Rattus norvegicus: one gene and its partners. The protein of the gene in region 3 interacts with the protein of the main gene of each other region in a biochemical or structural test. Links are inferred from orthologs where the notes say so. Each region holds a gene or a part of one and is shown on either strand. Other genes may lie near its edges. The genes, in order: Csnk1g1, Usp20 and Clspn.

Region 1 (6,034 bases), on a different chromosome or scaffold from region 3:
AAAAGGCAGAGTGGGCTGGAGAGATGGCTTAGTGGTTAAGAGTACCGACTGTTCTTCCAGGGTCCTGAGTTCAAATTCCCGCAACCACATAGTGGCTCACAACCATCTGTAATAGGATCTGATGCCTTCTTTTGGTATGTCTGAAGAACTACAGTGTACTCATATATAATAAATCTTTTTAAAAAAGGCAGAGATTATTAAATCAGTTAGATACAAAATATCTATACTAGTAAGAGACCTCTCTTTGGATCCACACAGAGAGCTGAAGGAGCTGCTACTTGTGTATTCACATTAAATGACAACCTTGAAGACAGCTTCAATTTTCAACAGTGAATACAACTATCCTGTATGACTCCATACTGAATTTGCCAAAGCCTCAACATGACTTTTGAGTCTACATGCAATACTAATGATAGTAATAGGGGGTTAGGACCTTAGCTCTATTGGTAGAGTGCTTCTGTAGTATGCATGGAAGCACTGGGTTCATCCCCAGTACAGCAACACAGTGAGCTCTAGACCAGTCAGGGCTATGTAAATCTGCAAAAATTAAAACAGCAGTATGATAAGAACAACAGCAGAGTACCAGTTATATTTCAAAATCTTAAAAGCACTGAGTAAATAAACAAAATGCCTAAGTAGAAGCTAGCAAGACCACTTACTAGATAAAGGTGCTTGCCACACAAACCTGACTATCAGAGTTCAACCACTAGAACCCACAAAAAGATGGAAGGAAAGAAGTAACTTTCAGAAGTTGTCTTCTGGGGCTGGAGAGATGGCTCAGCGGTTAAGAACACCGACTGCTCTTCCAGAGGTCCTGAGTTCAATTCCCAGCAACCACATGATGGTTCACAATCATCGGTAATGGGATCTGATGCCCTCTTCTGGTGTCTGAAGACAGCTACAGTGCACTCACATTATACATTAAATAAATAATATAAAAAAAGTTGTCTTCTAACCTACATATGAATACTGTAATATACATGTGTCTACCTACACACACACACACACACACAGAGAGAGAGAGAGAGAGAGAGAGAGAGAGAGAGAGAGAGAGAAAGAGAAAGACTGGACCACCACAAACAAACAGAGCAAATAAAACCCAAAGTTTTATTTATATTTTAGCATTGCTTTGGGAAACATTATTTAAAACCAATCCCACTCTCGTAAGTTTGCTCTCAATTTAGCTACTCAGCAGAAGCATCCAATATACCCAGGAGAGTCCCATGACCCTCAGCCAAATTCCTGGATCAACGAATTATAGTACGATGGAGGCTATGGACATGGTTTAGTGTAAAAAGTCTAAGTAAAGAAGCACAAGGACCTGAGTTAATCTCAGGCACTCAAGTAAAAAGCCAGGCATGATGGCACACAACTATAAATCAAGTGCTGGGGAAGCAGAGGCAGATAAATTATTAGGGCTGGCTGGATAGTAAACCTAGCTTACTGAAGTGATAAGTTGAGAGAGAGAGAGAGAGAGAGAGAGAGAGAGAGAGAGAGAGAGACAGAGACAGAGACAGAGACAGACAGACAGACAGTCAGACTGAGACTCTAAAAACAAAGGTGAGAGAGGGGAATGATGGCTCATCAGTTAAAAACAGAGAACCCGAGTTCAGTTATCAATACCCACATCGCACAGCTGACAGATGCCTGTGATTCCATCTGTAAGGAATGTGACATCTCTGGGCTACAAGGACATCTGCATTCATGTATACAATACCACAAACAGACAAGAAATTAAAACAATCTGGATGTGGTAGCTCACACTTTTAAGCCCAGCATATGGAGGCAGAGGCAGGTGGGTCTATTTGAGTTCAATGCCAACTTGCTGTACAAAGTGAGTCCTAGAACAACAGGGCTGTATAGTAAGACCCTGTCTCAAATGAAGAAACAAACCTTTGAGGCTAAAGAGATCACTGGGGCATTAAAAGCAATACCTGCTCTTCCAGAGGACCCAGCTTCAATTTCCAGCACTCACTTGGTGGCTCATGACTTTTATTTCTAGGGGTTCTGACTACCTCTTCTAACCTTCCTGGGCACCAAGTACACATACGATACACATACATACATGCAGATAAAACATTCATACATATAAAATCAAGTAAGTCTAAAAAAATTAAGGAATGCCAGCCTTGGTGGTGCACACCTTTAATCCCAGCATTTAGGAAGGGGAGGCAGATAGATCTCTGAGTACCAGGCCAGCCAAGACTAAACACATTGAGATTCTGTTTAATTAACTCAGGTAAATTAAGAAAAGCATTCACCCCCAGCTCCGAAAAAAAGAAAAAAGAAAAAAGAAAAAAAAAAAGAAAAGAAAAGCATTCACACTCATTTTGTATATGAGCCCAGTTCAGTTCCCAGCACCTACACTGAGCATCTTACAACTGCCTGTACCACCTCCTGCAGGGGATCCAACATCCTCTTCTGGCCTCTGAAAGCATATGTGCACACACACAAATACACATATAAATACACATAAGAAATAAACTGGGGCTAGAGAGATAGCTCATTGATTAAGAATACATTACTCTTGCAGAGGACTTGAGTTCAGTTCCCAGCATTCACATCAGTTAGCTCATAAATGTCTGTAACTCTAACTCCAGAGAGACCCAACACCTGGCTGTCACATGCACACACTCACACCAACAAACATAATTAAAACAAAACAAACACCACAGGTGGAAGACTGCTGAGAAAGACACCTGAGGCTCGCCTCTGCTTTCACCTGCATCTCTAGATGGAGGCAGGAGAATCAGCACATGGAGAGTTCAACACCAGGCTACCTAAAGCACTGAAATCAGTAACAGAACAATAACAAAACCCCACAAATAAAAAACTCACAAATACCAAACTGTTAAAATTTCTCTATGCAAATGCAAGTATTTATACTTTGTTTTAAAGTTTTAAAACACTGGCTCATTTGGTAGGGACTATGTCTTAGTTTTGTAGCACCTTACAATACTTAAAAGTCTTGATGAGTTGAATATTACTGTTTATAACAGTTAAATGTTACTATCTAAATTAAAATGCTATTTTCAAATAAATAACCCAAGAGTTTGATGGGGAAAAAGTAGTGAGGCTAGGGCGATCAGTTAACACAGAATGTGTAACTGAGAAAACACGAGGATGTGAGTTCCAATCCTACACACCTTCCTAAAAGGAGCCAGGCATGAACTGTGCTTGCCTGCAGCCCAGCACTGAACAGCAGAGAGAGGTGGACCCTCACAACTCAATGGTCAGACAGCCTTGCCAAAAGACCAAGCTTCCAGTTTAGTGAGAGCTTGTCTCTGAAGGTGGTAAGGTAGAGAGGGACAGAGGAAGATACTTGATGTCTTCTTGTGGCCTCCACATGCATAGGGGCACCCCCCAACCCATTTATAAAGAGGCACCCATACACACATGCATACACATGTAGGTACTGCTTTTACACACACGTAAAATAAGAAAAATACACATTATACCAAAAGTAATACTACTGTATCTACAGAACTAGTTCCAGGACATTACATGACATTACAACTAAGTTACACTAAATTCAGAATGTTATAAAAAAAAACAATATATATATATATATATATATATATATATATATGTATATGCTACAGTTAGTGAAAAATTAAATTCTATGATGCCCTGTTTCTAGGACTGGAACTTCACTATTCCATGACTACAGTATCAACGTGTTATGTCCCTTTTTATAAAGCACACCAGAGAATAACCTCACGTAGAGGCATAAACTCCCTTCTGGTCATTCTAGTTAAAGTACAACAAAATCTGCACATTTTTATGAATGATAATCCAGAAGTCGGATCTTCTAATAATATAAGGAATACATTTTGAGTATTAAAACTAATTTGGATCTCTCCAAATAAAAATGTATTTGATGAATATGAATAATCTAGTATACCCTTATATAATTCAGTATGAAAAGAAAATCAATGCAAGAAATCTAGAGTTGAATAGAAAAGAATGTCTCATGAAGAGAAACAGAATGTTAAAGAATAAGGACTAAAGATTCTGAATTCTAAACACAGGTAAGCTCCTGACCCAAGTCAACATTTCTCAATCACAAATTAGTAGGAATATTCAAATATAAGTTACAAAATGCTTGAAAAACCTTAAAAAGATTTTTTTTAAACTAAAGAGAAAAAACTCATTGTCCTAACCTGCTCCACACAAATCCCAATGGCCTTGAAATCAGTACTGGTAAGTGTGGCAACTTGGATTGAAAGTACGCTTGGTAACTGCAAAGCAGTGTTTCAAGGACTGAGCTTAGGTTAATCACAGCTGAGTACATAAAGACATTTATGCTGTCAGTACTGTCCTAACAAAAAGCTAAATTTCAAGGCACAGCACAGCCTTGCCTGTGAGAAGGCTAAAACTTCAGGACCAAGGGAAACTGTTAACTCTATAAAATGCAGTAAAAAGTGGGTATTCTTTATTAAATGCTTGTTTCATTTAATGAATCTCACATGTCTAGAGTAGACACTCAGCTCCTACTTTAGCCAGGAAAGCTAGGCAGAGCTGTTAATGGATAAGCACTATGGGAATAACCCAAAACAAAACATCCAAACCTAGCGGTGTCTGTCTGTCTGTCTGTCTGCCTGTCCACCCCCCACATGTATGTATGTATGTATGTATGTATGTATGTATGTATGTATGTGTCTTTCTCTGTCTCTCCCACTCCAACCCACCCCTAACAACCCTACTCCCCGCCCTGTGACTTTTCCATTTTTTTCTTTTCTGTATCTAAGAAAAAATTTTCAAGATAGGCTTCAATAATCAGATACAATAAATAACTTTAAAATATACCTTAGAAGTAATGTATATATAATATATGTATATATATTATTTAATAACTATTAGGAAGAAGAGGGACTATACAGAAGCAAAATGAGTAGGAAATAGAACTGTAGAAAAAAAATTGCAAAAAGAGACAGAAACCAAAAATTATAAAAAGATAGGAAAAAATGAAAGCTAAATAGAAGTCCTCTCTTACAAAATACTTTAATCTTTTTAAATTTTATAAACTGTACTGATTTGTATGTGTGCACATGAGTTCACATTCATGACTAACAATTCCAAGAAGAAATCAAGAAGGAAATGAGACAATTACCACTCAATAGCCTAAGGTAGAAGAAAAGTTCAAGGTTACCAGGGTCTGCCTACTATCTTTGAGGGGAAAAAAAAAAAACCAGATGATCATGAGTTCAAAAATCATCCCAAACCCCCCAACTATATAACCTGGGGATACCGTAGACTGTGTCTCAAAAACAAGAAAAAAGAAAAGGACCAGGACCACTTGGCTTTTGCAAATACATTCATGCAAAACAACTGGTTTGGAACCTAGTGCTCATTATCTACTTCTGCCTTGGGCAGAAGAATGGCTTAGGAAAGAAATAACTCCCCCAAGCTGTACTCTGACCTCATACACATTGTGAGATATGCACATGCAAAAGTGCGCCTGTACATGTGCGCGCACACACACACACACACACACACACGCACGCACACAACATAAATGTGATAAAATTTTTAACGTATTTGCTCCCCAAAAGAATTTATATTTATAAGAAATTTCCAGCTGATGCTGATGCTGCTAATCAAGAAAGGACAGAGGATAGTGGTGCACACCTTTAATCCCACCAGTGTCAGTGGTCTCTTGTGAGTTTGAAGCCAGCTTGAGTTCAATTCCCAGCAACCACATGGTGGTTCACAACCATCTGTAATGGGATCTGATGCCCTCTTCTGGTGTGTCTGACTGAAGACAGCTACAGTGTACTCATATAAATAAAATAAAATCTTAAAAAAAAAAACAAAAACAAAAAACAAGACCCTAGATGAGCTGAGGTGATATACAACCTTAATCCCAGCATTTGGGAGAGAGAGGCAGATGAATCTCTGTGAGTTTGTGGGCAACTATCTACAGAGAGAGTTCTAAGATGGCCAGGGTTACACACACAGAAACTGTCTTGAACTACACATACACGCCCAACGCAGATTCTAGTCTGTCACTTTATATTTACTTCTCCTTATA
Region 2 (5,952 bases), on a different chromosome or scaffold from region 3:
GGAGGCCGGTGATGGTCTCACACTGCTTACAAAACAAACCAACTCCCTCAAGCTGTCCTCTGGCCTCCAGTTGTGCAAAGAGGCTTGTGAACACACATACAGCAATAAAAATATTAAAAAAAATAGATCAAAAATCCAAGTAAGTGTAGGTGCTATAAAATTCCAGGTGTAATGGCTCCCACCCATATTCTCATCATTAAAGAGGTGGAGGAAAATCAGGAGCTTGAAATAACCCTCAGCTCCAGTCCCATGTGATCCCATGTCTTTCTCTGTCTCTAAACTCTGTAGGCACTGTGTAGGCACCACATACATTCAGATAAAACATTCAACAAAAAATACCTCAGGAGACCTCTGGCCTTTGCACATGCGCACACACGCACGCACACACACACACACACACACACACACACACACACACACAATTAAAACAGTAAAGCTAAATACAAAAAGAAAAACCATGCACGCAGAGAAGAGCGGTCACAAACCGTGTCTCGGTGCTCCCGGAAAGGGTCTCGCGTCCTCCCACACACAGCTAGAACAAGTGAGAGCTCCAGACCGTCCTCTCTGTCGCCAGAGTGCTAGACCACAGGGGCCTACTACCACGCTTGTGCAGGGCTGGGAGTTCAGCCCAGGGCCTGGGGCAACCAGGCAACCTCTCTTCCAACAGAGACACACTCCAACCTCTTCAAATCTGTACCCGACAGGGGTTAATATAAAGAACTCCTAACCTCAACACGAAAGACTAGAAGAGATGTCTCCAAAGAGGGAGATCCATGTGTGCGCACTCGAGTTATGAGTACACATTTGAGAAGTCACCTGTGTGCGCATGTACAGAGGCCAGAGGTCACGTTAGCTCATCCTCCTCTATTATGCTTGGAGACGGTCTCTGACCAAACCCCTGGAATTCATATAGACTGGCTGGCCAGTAAGGCCCTGGCCACCCTGAGCACTGGAGTTAGACACATACCACCATAGCCGGCTTTCACCGGGCTGCTGGGGACTTGGGCTCAGCCAACACATTGCCCACTGAGTGATCGCCCACTCCCACTGACGAACAGGTTCCTTTTAGGTTATGTATTTTATTTTCCGTGTATGGTATTCCACCATGTCTATTTGTGTACCACATATGCAGTGCTTGGGCAGATCCGAAGAGGGCACTGGGTCCCCTGGAACTGGAGTCAAGGATGGTTGCGAGCTGCCCAGTGGATGCTGGAAGCTGAACAGCCCCACGTCCACCCACCCCATGCAAACATGTTTAAGATGCTCAGTATCACTTATCAGAGGATGCAGACCAAAACCACAGTTGGTGACGCCTCAGGCCCAGGAAGCTTGCAACTATTCTGCAATGAGCTGGCAAGACCCTGGGGGAGCCGGAGTTCCACGGATCTAGCAAGCCTACTGCTAAGCACATGCGGACGAGGACACTCTCAGTGCTGGCAGAGGGCCACGGCAGTGGCACTCACGGCAGCTGATGTAGGGGTGGACCACGTCCACTCTGATGGAGTCACAGAGGGTATGGTCTGTCCACAAGACAGATAAAAATGGAAATTCTTGTCCATATCTTATCCAGAAGACAGATTAAAAATAGAAAGAAAACTGAGCCATGCTGCCATCGAGGGAACTCTGAGGGCACTAGGCTCCGTCAGTCAGTCTCACACTCAGAAAGTACACCAGCTGGGGTGTGGCTCTGTGCTAGAACACAGGCCCGCAACCACAAGGCTCTGCAGTCAATCTCCTGAACCCAAAAAATGCTATGTGTGTGGGATGTGGGGGGAGCACACAGCAAAGTGGACGCTGGCTATCAGGGACTGGAGAAGGGGGCAGGAGCTGTTTGATAGATATAGTTTTATATTGCAAGATGAAAATATTGTGAATGGAGGTGGCGGCAGCGGCATAGTGATGTTAATGTACACAACACTTGTAAACTATAAAATATGGTGTAGTTTTACAACTGGAGAAAAAAGTAAAGTAAAAATCAGGAGGCTGATACCCGGATCAGCAGGTAAAGCCCTGGCCACCGAGCCTGACGACCTGAGTTTGAGCCCAAGACCCACACACTAGGAGGACAATCAACCCCAGGTTGTCCTCAGACTCCATCCTACGATAGCGGTTTGCACACACTAAGTGCACAGAGAAATAGTTTTAACCTACATTTAAGCATCCAAGCTGGTCATGGAGGTGCACACCAACAACCTCAGCTAGAGGAAGTGGAGGCTAGAGTTTAAGGCCAATGTGGCCTACACAATGAATATGAGGCCAGCTTGGGCTGCATGAGACTGTCTCAAAACAAAACCGAAAACCAAACAATCAATCAAGGAAGCACAGAGCTAAAGTGAAACGTCCCTTCTGCCCACTGATCTGATGGGAAATAAGGACAGATCAGCAGTTTGGGAGGTTCCCAGCATGCCCTAGTAGATAGATAGCAGGTGAACATTTATGTATCTCCTTTGTTTTGTTTCTCATGTAGCCCAGGCCTCGCCTCAGGCAGTGAGGTCTTGAGCGCACTATATAGCCCAGGATGACCCTCAAGCCCGATCTTTTGCTCTACCTCTGAAGCTCTGGGCTGTAGGCATGCACTATCAGTGGAATCGAACAGGGTCCGTCCCATAAGGCCAAGTGGCCCTCGGTGCATTAAGCGTGGGCGGCAGGCTAGCTGGGGCACAGCCCCTACGGGCTCGACAGTCAGTCCTCTCCTTACAGCCGGGCCACTCACCCTTCAGCTCATCAGCAGCAAAGAAAGCAGCCAGGCAGTCTTCCAGTGTGACAACAGGTCCCCAAAACCAGCTGGGGGTACAGGATACCACAAACCTAGATACACAGGAAAGAGATGACAGGTGCTGTCGTCCTTGGGTATGGGCATGCTGAGGTCGGTTTCAACCTGACTGGGGCTGGACATCTTGTGTACATAGGCTGGTGGGGAGGGGTTTGGCGCTCTTCCCTAAGCCAGCGCCTCGGGGATTAAGGAAGTATCTGGTGATTCTTCAGACCAGAGCTTGGCAGGTGCCTCATTTCTACCTGCTGCTTGGTCACTCTCTAGGTTGTCACTTGTCCTCCACCTTCAAGGAGTGTCTAGTCCAGGCTATTCCAAAGTGACCAAGACCCTGAACCCAGCAAACTCCTCTTTATCTTCTGGCCTCCAGCTCCCCTGATCCATGACCCCATGAATGCTTGTCCCTGAATTGCTGGTAGACCCAGGAAAGCCAGACCAGACTGGAAGCCCCAGCTAGCAGGATGGGCATACCGTCGGATGTACTCCACGATGAAGGCCAGCCAGCCCTGGGAGGAATAGCTGTCCCCACAGGCACCCGGCTTGGCTGGTACATTCTGGTAGATGGCAGAGTGAAGTTTGGCTAGGTCTTCCTTGCCAGGGATGGGCAATGACAGGTCCTGGAATGTCTCCACTGTGGTAGACACCTATATGGTGAAGATCAGCCTGCTGCCCACTCCTGCCAGTGTCTGCTGCTTAGACAGACAAAGCAGACAGCCTGCTCCTGGGGGAGGGAATGGCACAGGAGAGTCCACCCTGCCCAGGTGGTAAGGGATGCCAGCCTCCCCTAGGTACCTACCCGATCACAGGTAAGACACTGCACCAGGCTGAGGACAGAGCCATTGAAGACATCTGAGATGACACTGCGGTAGCTCTGTTCCTTCCGCCTCCGGCCACCAGTACTCGGCACCTGGGCTGGGAACACAGCACAGGACTAGGCCAGCTTCCCCTGCCTGGCAGGCGCAGGCACAGACAGTGGCTTCCTCAGCCACAGTGTGGAGCCCTCACTGTTTACACACTTCGCCCCTTGGCACTTTAGCACTACTGTTTATAAAATGGGGTTCCCTCTCACACCCCAAGGCTATTACAAGGGTTTAAGGGCTCAAGTGAGCAGCACACAGCCTGGACCAAGGTTGAAGTGCCCCAAACTGGTCACTATGTTATCCCCAGCAGAGTTCATGACTGCCCCCGAACCTTTCTTGAGCACGTACGATGGCCCCATCCTCACGGGGCTTGCACGAGGAGGGCTGCTGGACAGCTTGGTATGGCCCTCGTGGTGGTGGACAGGGCTGCAGGGGCGAGAGGAGCTGCGAATGTGGACTTCATTGTCTGGCTCTGGGGACAGCAAGGGGAAGTTCTGGGCCAGGGCAGCCAAGCTAGTGCCCTCCATGCCAGCTCTGAGGCCAGAGCAAGAGAGCATGCCAGCATATCCTCCCAGGGATAACGCCTGCCTTCCCACACCATCTTCCTCTATGTCCATCCCCGACCCCATCAAACACACTGGGGTATTATCAATCCATTCCCAACCGAGGCTCAAGACTAGCAGGGCTGTGGCTCTGAAAGCCTAGTTAACCGAGCACGGAGGCTGTTCCCAGCCTGTGAGGAGGGTTCAGGGGCTAAGCCGCCCACCCTCTAGCTAGTGCATGTTAGTGCTAGGCAGGCAACAGACACAGGGCTTACAGTCTGTCACTTCCCAGTGGCCCAACCAGTGACATGGCTGACTGATACCTGGGGTCTGGCAGGGGCTGGTAGGCCTTGGTGACGGTGGCTGGGCCTCTCTAGATTGTTCGTCAAGGGAGGCCATGGCTGTGTCCACATCAGCGTCCTCATCCACTTGCTCCGAGTTGGTGCGCTGCTGGCCCCAGGAGAACTTGCGGTCCTTCATTCGCTCTTTCTCAGAGATGGCTCGGCCCGCCTCGTCTGAGATCAGCAGCTCCATCTCAGCCTTTGAGCTGCCTCCACCACGGCCCTGCCCATCACCCTCACCCCTGTCACTGCTCGAGTCACAGGACAGAAACTCGTCCTCTGAAGGGCTCCGGTCGCCATCACGCCTCTCATCTGTGTCACTGGAATCTGAGTCCCGAGCATCAGTGAGAGCTGCCACAGCAGCTACCATGGGCTCCTTGAGCTCCTCGTGAAGCTGGTCCATCAGGCAGCGTAGGAACTCCTGGGTGTCCTGCAACCAGGATTATGTCATGGGGGCTCTCCAGGGATAAAGAGCCGCCATGGGCACTGCTGCTTCTACCCACAAGGTCCTGGCGGACACAGTGCAGACAAGCAGCTTAGTCCCCTGAGGCAGTTTCCACCATAGTTCTGCTCTGGTTCCCTCCCAATCTCGGTTCAGAGATACTACAGGACTCCTCCCAGGTCACGCAGCCAGGGGACCTGGGTGTAAACCACAAGACCAATTCCAACTCTGATTCTACAGTGTTGGAAGAGAGATAAGCAGCCACATCTAGCCACTGAAGTATCCTTCTTCCTTAAGCAGGGGTCAGCAGGGCAGCAGGGACCCCAGAGGATGAAAGTGCAGGACACTGAAAGCCAGACCTGTCAAGAGGACTGCACTGACAATGCCACCCAACACAGGCAGCCACGCTGATCCCTCCTCTACTGTTGCATCTTCCTGCCTGCTCACATGCCACACCCTGTGTGTGACACAGTGGCAGGAGAGGCCCTGGATGCAGAGTCCCACTCTCCTGACTCACATGGGTAGGACATGGACTAAGTAGCTTCTCCTACAAATATGGTGTCATTTTGAGGACCCAGTACCTAATTCAGTCCTGCAGGAAGCTAGGAGGTGGCCTGCCAGTAGAGCCATCCTACTGAGGTGGTGATGGCAGCTGACCTCAAGGGCTCAGGGCACTGGCAGACATGGGCTCCAAGCCTCCCTGGAGCACATGAGAGAAGTGGACTCCTAGGCAGCCGCCCTGAGGTTTCACCTTGGATAGAAGTCCCCGGGAGAGGTCAGGACTGAGTGGAGACAAATCCTCTCAGCTATCTACCACTGCTCCTTCCTTTTACAAGAGTTCTCAAGCCATGTGGAAGCACACGGAAGCCTATGGCCACCAAGAGAGGCCCAGAGCTGTGCCTGGCTTTAGACTCGGAATGTCTAATGTCCACAGGAAAATGTAAGGACCAAGAGAAGCAGTTTCTGCTGGAATCCAGATGGATGTCACCAACAGCCA
Region 3 (4,650 bases):
TCAGGAAGAGCAGCCTCTGAGCCATTAGAAATTAAGTTTAAGTGGGTGTGGAGGCAGAGGCAGGTAGATCTCTGTGAGTTTGAGGCCAGCCTAGACTACTGAGCTAAGTTCTAGGTTAGCCAGGAACACAAAGAAATCTTGTCTCAAAACAAACAAAAACAACAACAAAAATATACCCAACAACAACAAAGAAAAGAAATAAAAATAATTTCAAACCAGGGAGAAGTTCACAGAGAAGTGGAGATGACAGGGGATCCTTTGGAGATCAGAGAGGCTCAGCCTCTAGAGATTTGGGGAATATAACTTGGTACTTTATAGGAAGAAACAGATTGATGCAACTGTGGACTGAAGTGGTTAGATAAAATAGAGACTGCTTCACATGACTTCAATACTGCCTGCCCCTACTTAGGTATACAGCAAGGAAGAGACAAAGGACCGACACTGACATACAGTGTCCCTCAGACTTAGGCTCTCGCTCCTCCTAACAGGTAATCTCCAAAATGGTGAGCTGAGTCCTACTAGAAGTCAGATGGACAGATGGTGACAGCTCAATAGCTGGACAAACAGCATGTGGGTCAGGCAGAAACTCTTCAGTCCTGTTAAAAAGCTGGAAGCTGGGGCTGGGGATTTAGCTCAGTGGTAGAGCGCTTACCTAGGAAGCGCAAGGCCCTGGGTTCGGTCCCCAGCTCCGGAAAAAAAAAGAACAAAAAAAAAAAAAAAAAAAAAAAAAAAAAAAAAGCTGGAAGCTTAGCATGACTTCTGGCACGTGTACTTTCGTAATGAAAAGAGACCTATGGTTAAAGACTACATTCTTTCTTCTCTAAAGTGCAGCGAGAATTTCTTGTGCACTGTATGGAGGCACCACCTGTCAATAAAAACTGATGGCCTATTAGCTGAGGCACAAAATGGAGGGAGAAAGGAACTCTGGGACAGAGTCAGGCGTGGGAACTCTGAAGGAGACAGACACCTGAAACTGAGGAGAGGTAACTATGTGGCAGATAAGGACTAGGATAAAAGGGTTAGGTAAGTTCTGAGCTGGTCGAGGAACGAGGCTAAGCTTATGGCCTAGGCATTTACTCAAACATAACCAGCCTCCGAGGCATTATTCTGGGGACCAACAGACTGGGTAGAAAAGCTTGCAAGCGCAAGCTAAAGACTACGTTCTTGGGGGCCAGCAAAAGGGCTCAGCAGGTAAAGGCACTTGCTGCCAAACCTGAGGAATGGTGGAAGGAGAGAACTAACTTTTGCAAATTATCCTCTTATTTCTACATGTGTGTCCACACACACACATACAAACATAAATTAAATGAAATGAAGCAAGATTAAAATTAAATGAAATGTAGCAAGATTAAGAAAATAGAATGCATTTACCCAGATACTCAAAGAAAAGTAATTTATTTCCCAGATTTCTCAGGTACTGACTTTCTTCTATTTAGTGGTCAGATCTTCTTTTCACTTCTCCCAAGAGGAGCATGTGGAGAGGTTGGGAAGCCTGTTCAACCTGGGCAAGGCCCCATTTGCTCCCAAGTGAATTACTACTCGCAGGGCATGAGGAGAAAAGGGATCTGGGATCTGCTGCCTCACTTCCCAGCTTTGCTGCCCAGGGGAGGAGGGGCCTCAGAGGAGCTTTTTATAAAGCGCAGAACAGCAATAACCGTCACCTTGGATCCAGAGTAACACTGAAGCACATGGAGGTCAGCCAAGGAGAAAGGGTCTCTCAGAGGGTCAGGGCAGGAGGACTGTATGAAGCCTCTCCTCCTCCTGAATTGAGACCACTAAGTGGGTTGTCTGGTCACTTCCTGTGGATGGAGAAGCCAGCGTAGGGCAGCCGCAGCACCCTTTATGCGGGATGCAGAGTCCCTGGGAGGGATCTTACTGAAAAGCAAATCCTCTCTCAACTCAGGCACTGACTGAAGAACGAACGCTGAAGCTGGACAGCAAACCCTGCCCTCGGGGCAGTGAGATTTATTGAAAACTACATACATATTAAAACAGCTTTATACACATCTCTCCCATTACAAGATTACAAATGTACAACTGTGTGTTCGGTCCAAGTCAGTATCCTTATCCTGAGGATTAGAAAAAAACAAAACCAAAGAGCCCTAGCACCCAACAGAAAACCTCCATCCTCGTTTCGTCAGTTGAATGGGCTGCGTTCTGTCTCTCAGTAAAAGATGGACACGGCCTCCCCCAGCCTCCCACGCTCGCTTCCACACTCGCCCACCTCTCCCCTGCAATGGCTTTTGCAAAGCAGCAACGGGAGGGAGTTGGTCTACGTTTCTGAAAGCCCAGTGGCTGGTGGAAGAAAGCAACTAATGGCGGCTCTCTGCAACGTTTTTACTAATTCTGCTGGTCTGCTCCCAACATTAGTGATGAAGTAGTAAAGTGGTCTCTGATGGTCAGGCCAAGAAACTCGGCCCGAGAGCAGCAATAAATAGTGGTCGGGTTTCTGCAGAAGGGAGGGAGGCTCTCCAACAAATGCTGTTAGTTGAGACTCCTCCAGTCCCAGGGAAGGTCTGTTCTCCATTGATTATCCAGTGCGGATGGACACTGGGTTTAACCTTTATCTTCCTCCCACACTGCAGAAAGTGAGGGACAGCCTCTTTCTCAACTAGGTACCAGCTTACGTCCTTATTTCAAAGGCGATAAAGGTTAATCAGAGATCAAGGCTAGAAGCTTACAAGACACAGAAGGACAGGACTGTGCTTCTTGGCCTGGTTACTGGGTTAGAGGTTGCGTGGCTGTGGAGGCCTCATCCCAGTGCTGGCTTTCAGTGCTTTCTGTAATTTTCTATAATGCCACACTTTCTTCCTCCAACGAACACCTCTACTTGAAAGTGGTGTCAACCCAGGAAACTGCTAGGAAGAAAATGTCAAGTGCTTAACGGAAGAAGTGAGACTTCAATTATTCTGTAAGTCGATGCTGGGAACTCTGGTGGCCAAACTAAAAAATAACTAGGAAAGAAAATGCTGTGGAGAGCTGTGTGGTGGGGAGAAGGGGAAGCTCTGCTCGTAATGTGTTGGTGCTGAGGGAAGGAGAGGTCATCGGCAGAAACAGCAGTCCCACCCCTCCGTGCTGGACCTACTTTGAGTACTTTCCACAGACACTGGCATCCCGGATGGTGTTAGCTTTCCAAGTATCTGAAGATGCTTCGCTTTGGTCCTGGACTGCTATCATTTGTCTTCAGCCGCTTAGGGGACGGTGACATCATTGACGATGGTCCCCTTCTTCTCACCTAGAGAGAACACAGGAGTCAGGGCCAGTTCGAGACACACACAAGTGCTCTCCTTCAGTGAGTTCTTCAGGAACTCAGTTAAAGCACAGAGGACTAGCAGACAGACAAACAAACAAAGATTGAAAGCAAATTTAAAAGCTAACTGCCCATTGGAGCAGCAACTCCACTATAAGTCTTGAGGTGTGAAACATTCTAACACTGCAACAGCTGTTAGATAAGAATTTTTATTTCATTTTATTTTACTTTTTTGGGTGTGTGTGTGATGTATGCATGTGGTGCACGGTGCATGCCATGTCTATGCACATGGAGGCTGGAGGATGTTGGGATCTCCACCATTGCTCTCTGACTTGTTCCTTTAAGACTGTCTGTCTCTGAACAGAAAGTTTGACACTTCAGCTAGGATAGCCTGCCAGCAGCCTTTCTCTGCCCGATGTTCGGGTTATAGAATAGCACAGCCATACACGGCACACGGCTGCCATTTTATATGTGCTGATTCAGACTCAGATCCTCATGCTCGATGGCAAGTTCTCTTACTTTCAACACACACACACACACACACACACACACAAACACACACACACACACACGCACGCGCGTGCGCACATTTTTAAAAAATAAAACAAATATATCTGGGGACTGGAGAGATGGCTCAGCAGTTAAGGTCCTTGCAGAGGACCAGAGGCTCTGTTCCCAGCACCCACGGCTGTAATTCTAGTTCCCCAGTTCCAGGGGATCTGGTGCTGTTTTCTGGCCTCCCCAGGTCCCAGACACACACATAGAACATGTACATACATATAGGTAAAATACAAACTAATCTTTAAAAAACAAGAAATAAAGCCCCACCAATAGACTCTGGGAAGTACCACACAGCACTCCTACCTGAGGCTTAGATGAACTCTTTGCTGTCTCTGCCTTGGTGGGAGAAAGTGTATGGAAGACAAAGTTTCTTGAGTTTCGGGGAGCGCTGGGGTTGAGGTCAGACAGGGTAGCGAGTTTTTGAAGCACAGCTTTGGGCTGGTTTAGCAGGGAGCCTGTCTTCAGCTGAGGGAAGAAGAGTTACCTGATATCAAACCACAAATGCCACAAAGGAGGAGGACACCCACCCCATCTGCCTAGCCCGGTACTGAGGGCATGCATTTCTACCTTGTGGAAGGCCTTCCCACGTCCTGGGGCCACCTCCCTCTCTGGATGACAGACTGATCTACAGACCGTGATGTCAGATTAACATGGTTCCAACTAACCTGGTGAGCACCTCCCGCTCTGATGGTTTCAAAAGGGTTACTGAGCACAGACTTCGATTCCTGAACAGCCACGGCACGACTGGCTGGAGAGAAACAGAAAGAAGTGTTCTGGGCAAGGCTGGGTAGAATCTCTTCCATATTTAAACAAGGTAAGAAGCCTAAAAGCTGACGTAA

Evidence for each region.
Region 1: of the proteins of Clspn (region 3) and Csnk1g1, one has a biochemical effect on the other in vitro, tested with the Homo sapiens proteins (2 studies listed by BioGRID). The link is inferred for Rattus norvegicus from reciprocal best matches to the Homo sapiens genes CLSPN and CSNK1G1.
Region 2: of the proteins of Clspn (region 3) and Usp20, one has a biochemical effect on the other in vitro, tested with the Homo sapiens proteins (2 studies listed by BioGRID, with this or other methods). The link is inferred for Rattus norvegicus from reciprocal best matches to the Homo sapiens genes CLSPN and USP20.

The regions. Positions count from the first base shown.
Region 1 is NC_086026.1:75,346,769-75,352,802, reverse strand, and holds the start of Csnk1g1 (casein kinase I), read right to left. Parts: upstream 4,190-6,034; 5' UTR 4,164-4,189; intron 1-4,163.
Region 2 is NC_086021.1:34,690,370-34,696,321, reverse strand, and holds part of Usp20 (ubiquitin carboxyl-terminal hydrolase 20), read right to left. Parts: intron 4,944-5,952; coding exon 4,496-4,943; intron 4,103-4,495; coding exon 3,962-4,102; intron 3,683-3,961; coding exon 3,567-3,682; intron 3,415-3,566; coding exon 3,242-3,414; intron 2,809-3,241; coding exon 2,714-2,808; intron 1-2,713.
Region 3 is NC_086023.1:144,166,813-144,171,462, reverse strand, and holds the end of Clspn (claspin), read right to left. Parts: intron 4,560-4,650; coding exon 4,477-4,559; intron 4,277-4,476; coding exon 4,115-4,276; intron 3,236-4,114; coding exon 3,125-3,235; 3' UTR 3,114-3,124; coding exon of another isoform or gene 3,086-3,113; 3' UTR 1,932-3,085; downstream 1-1,931.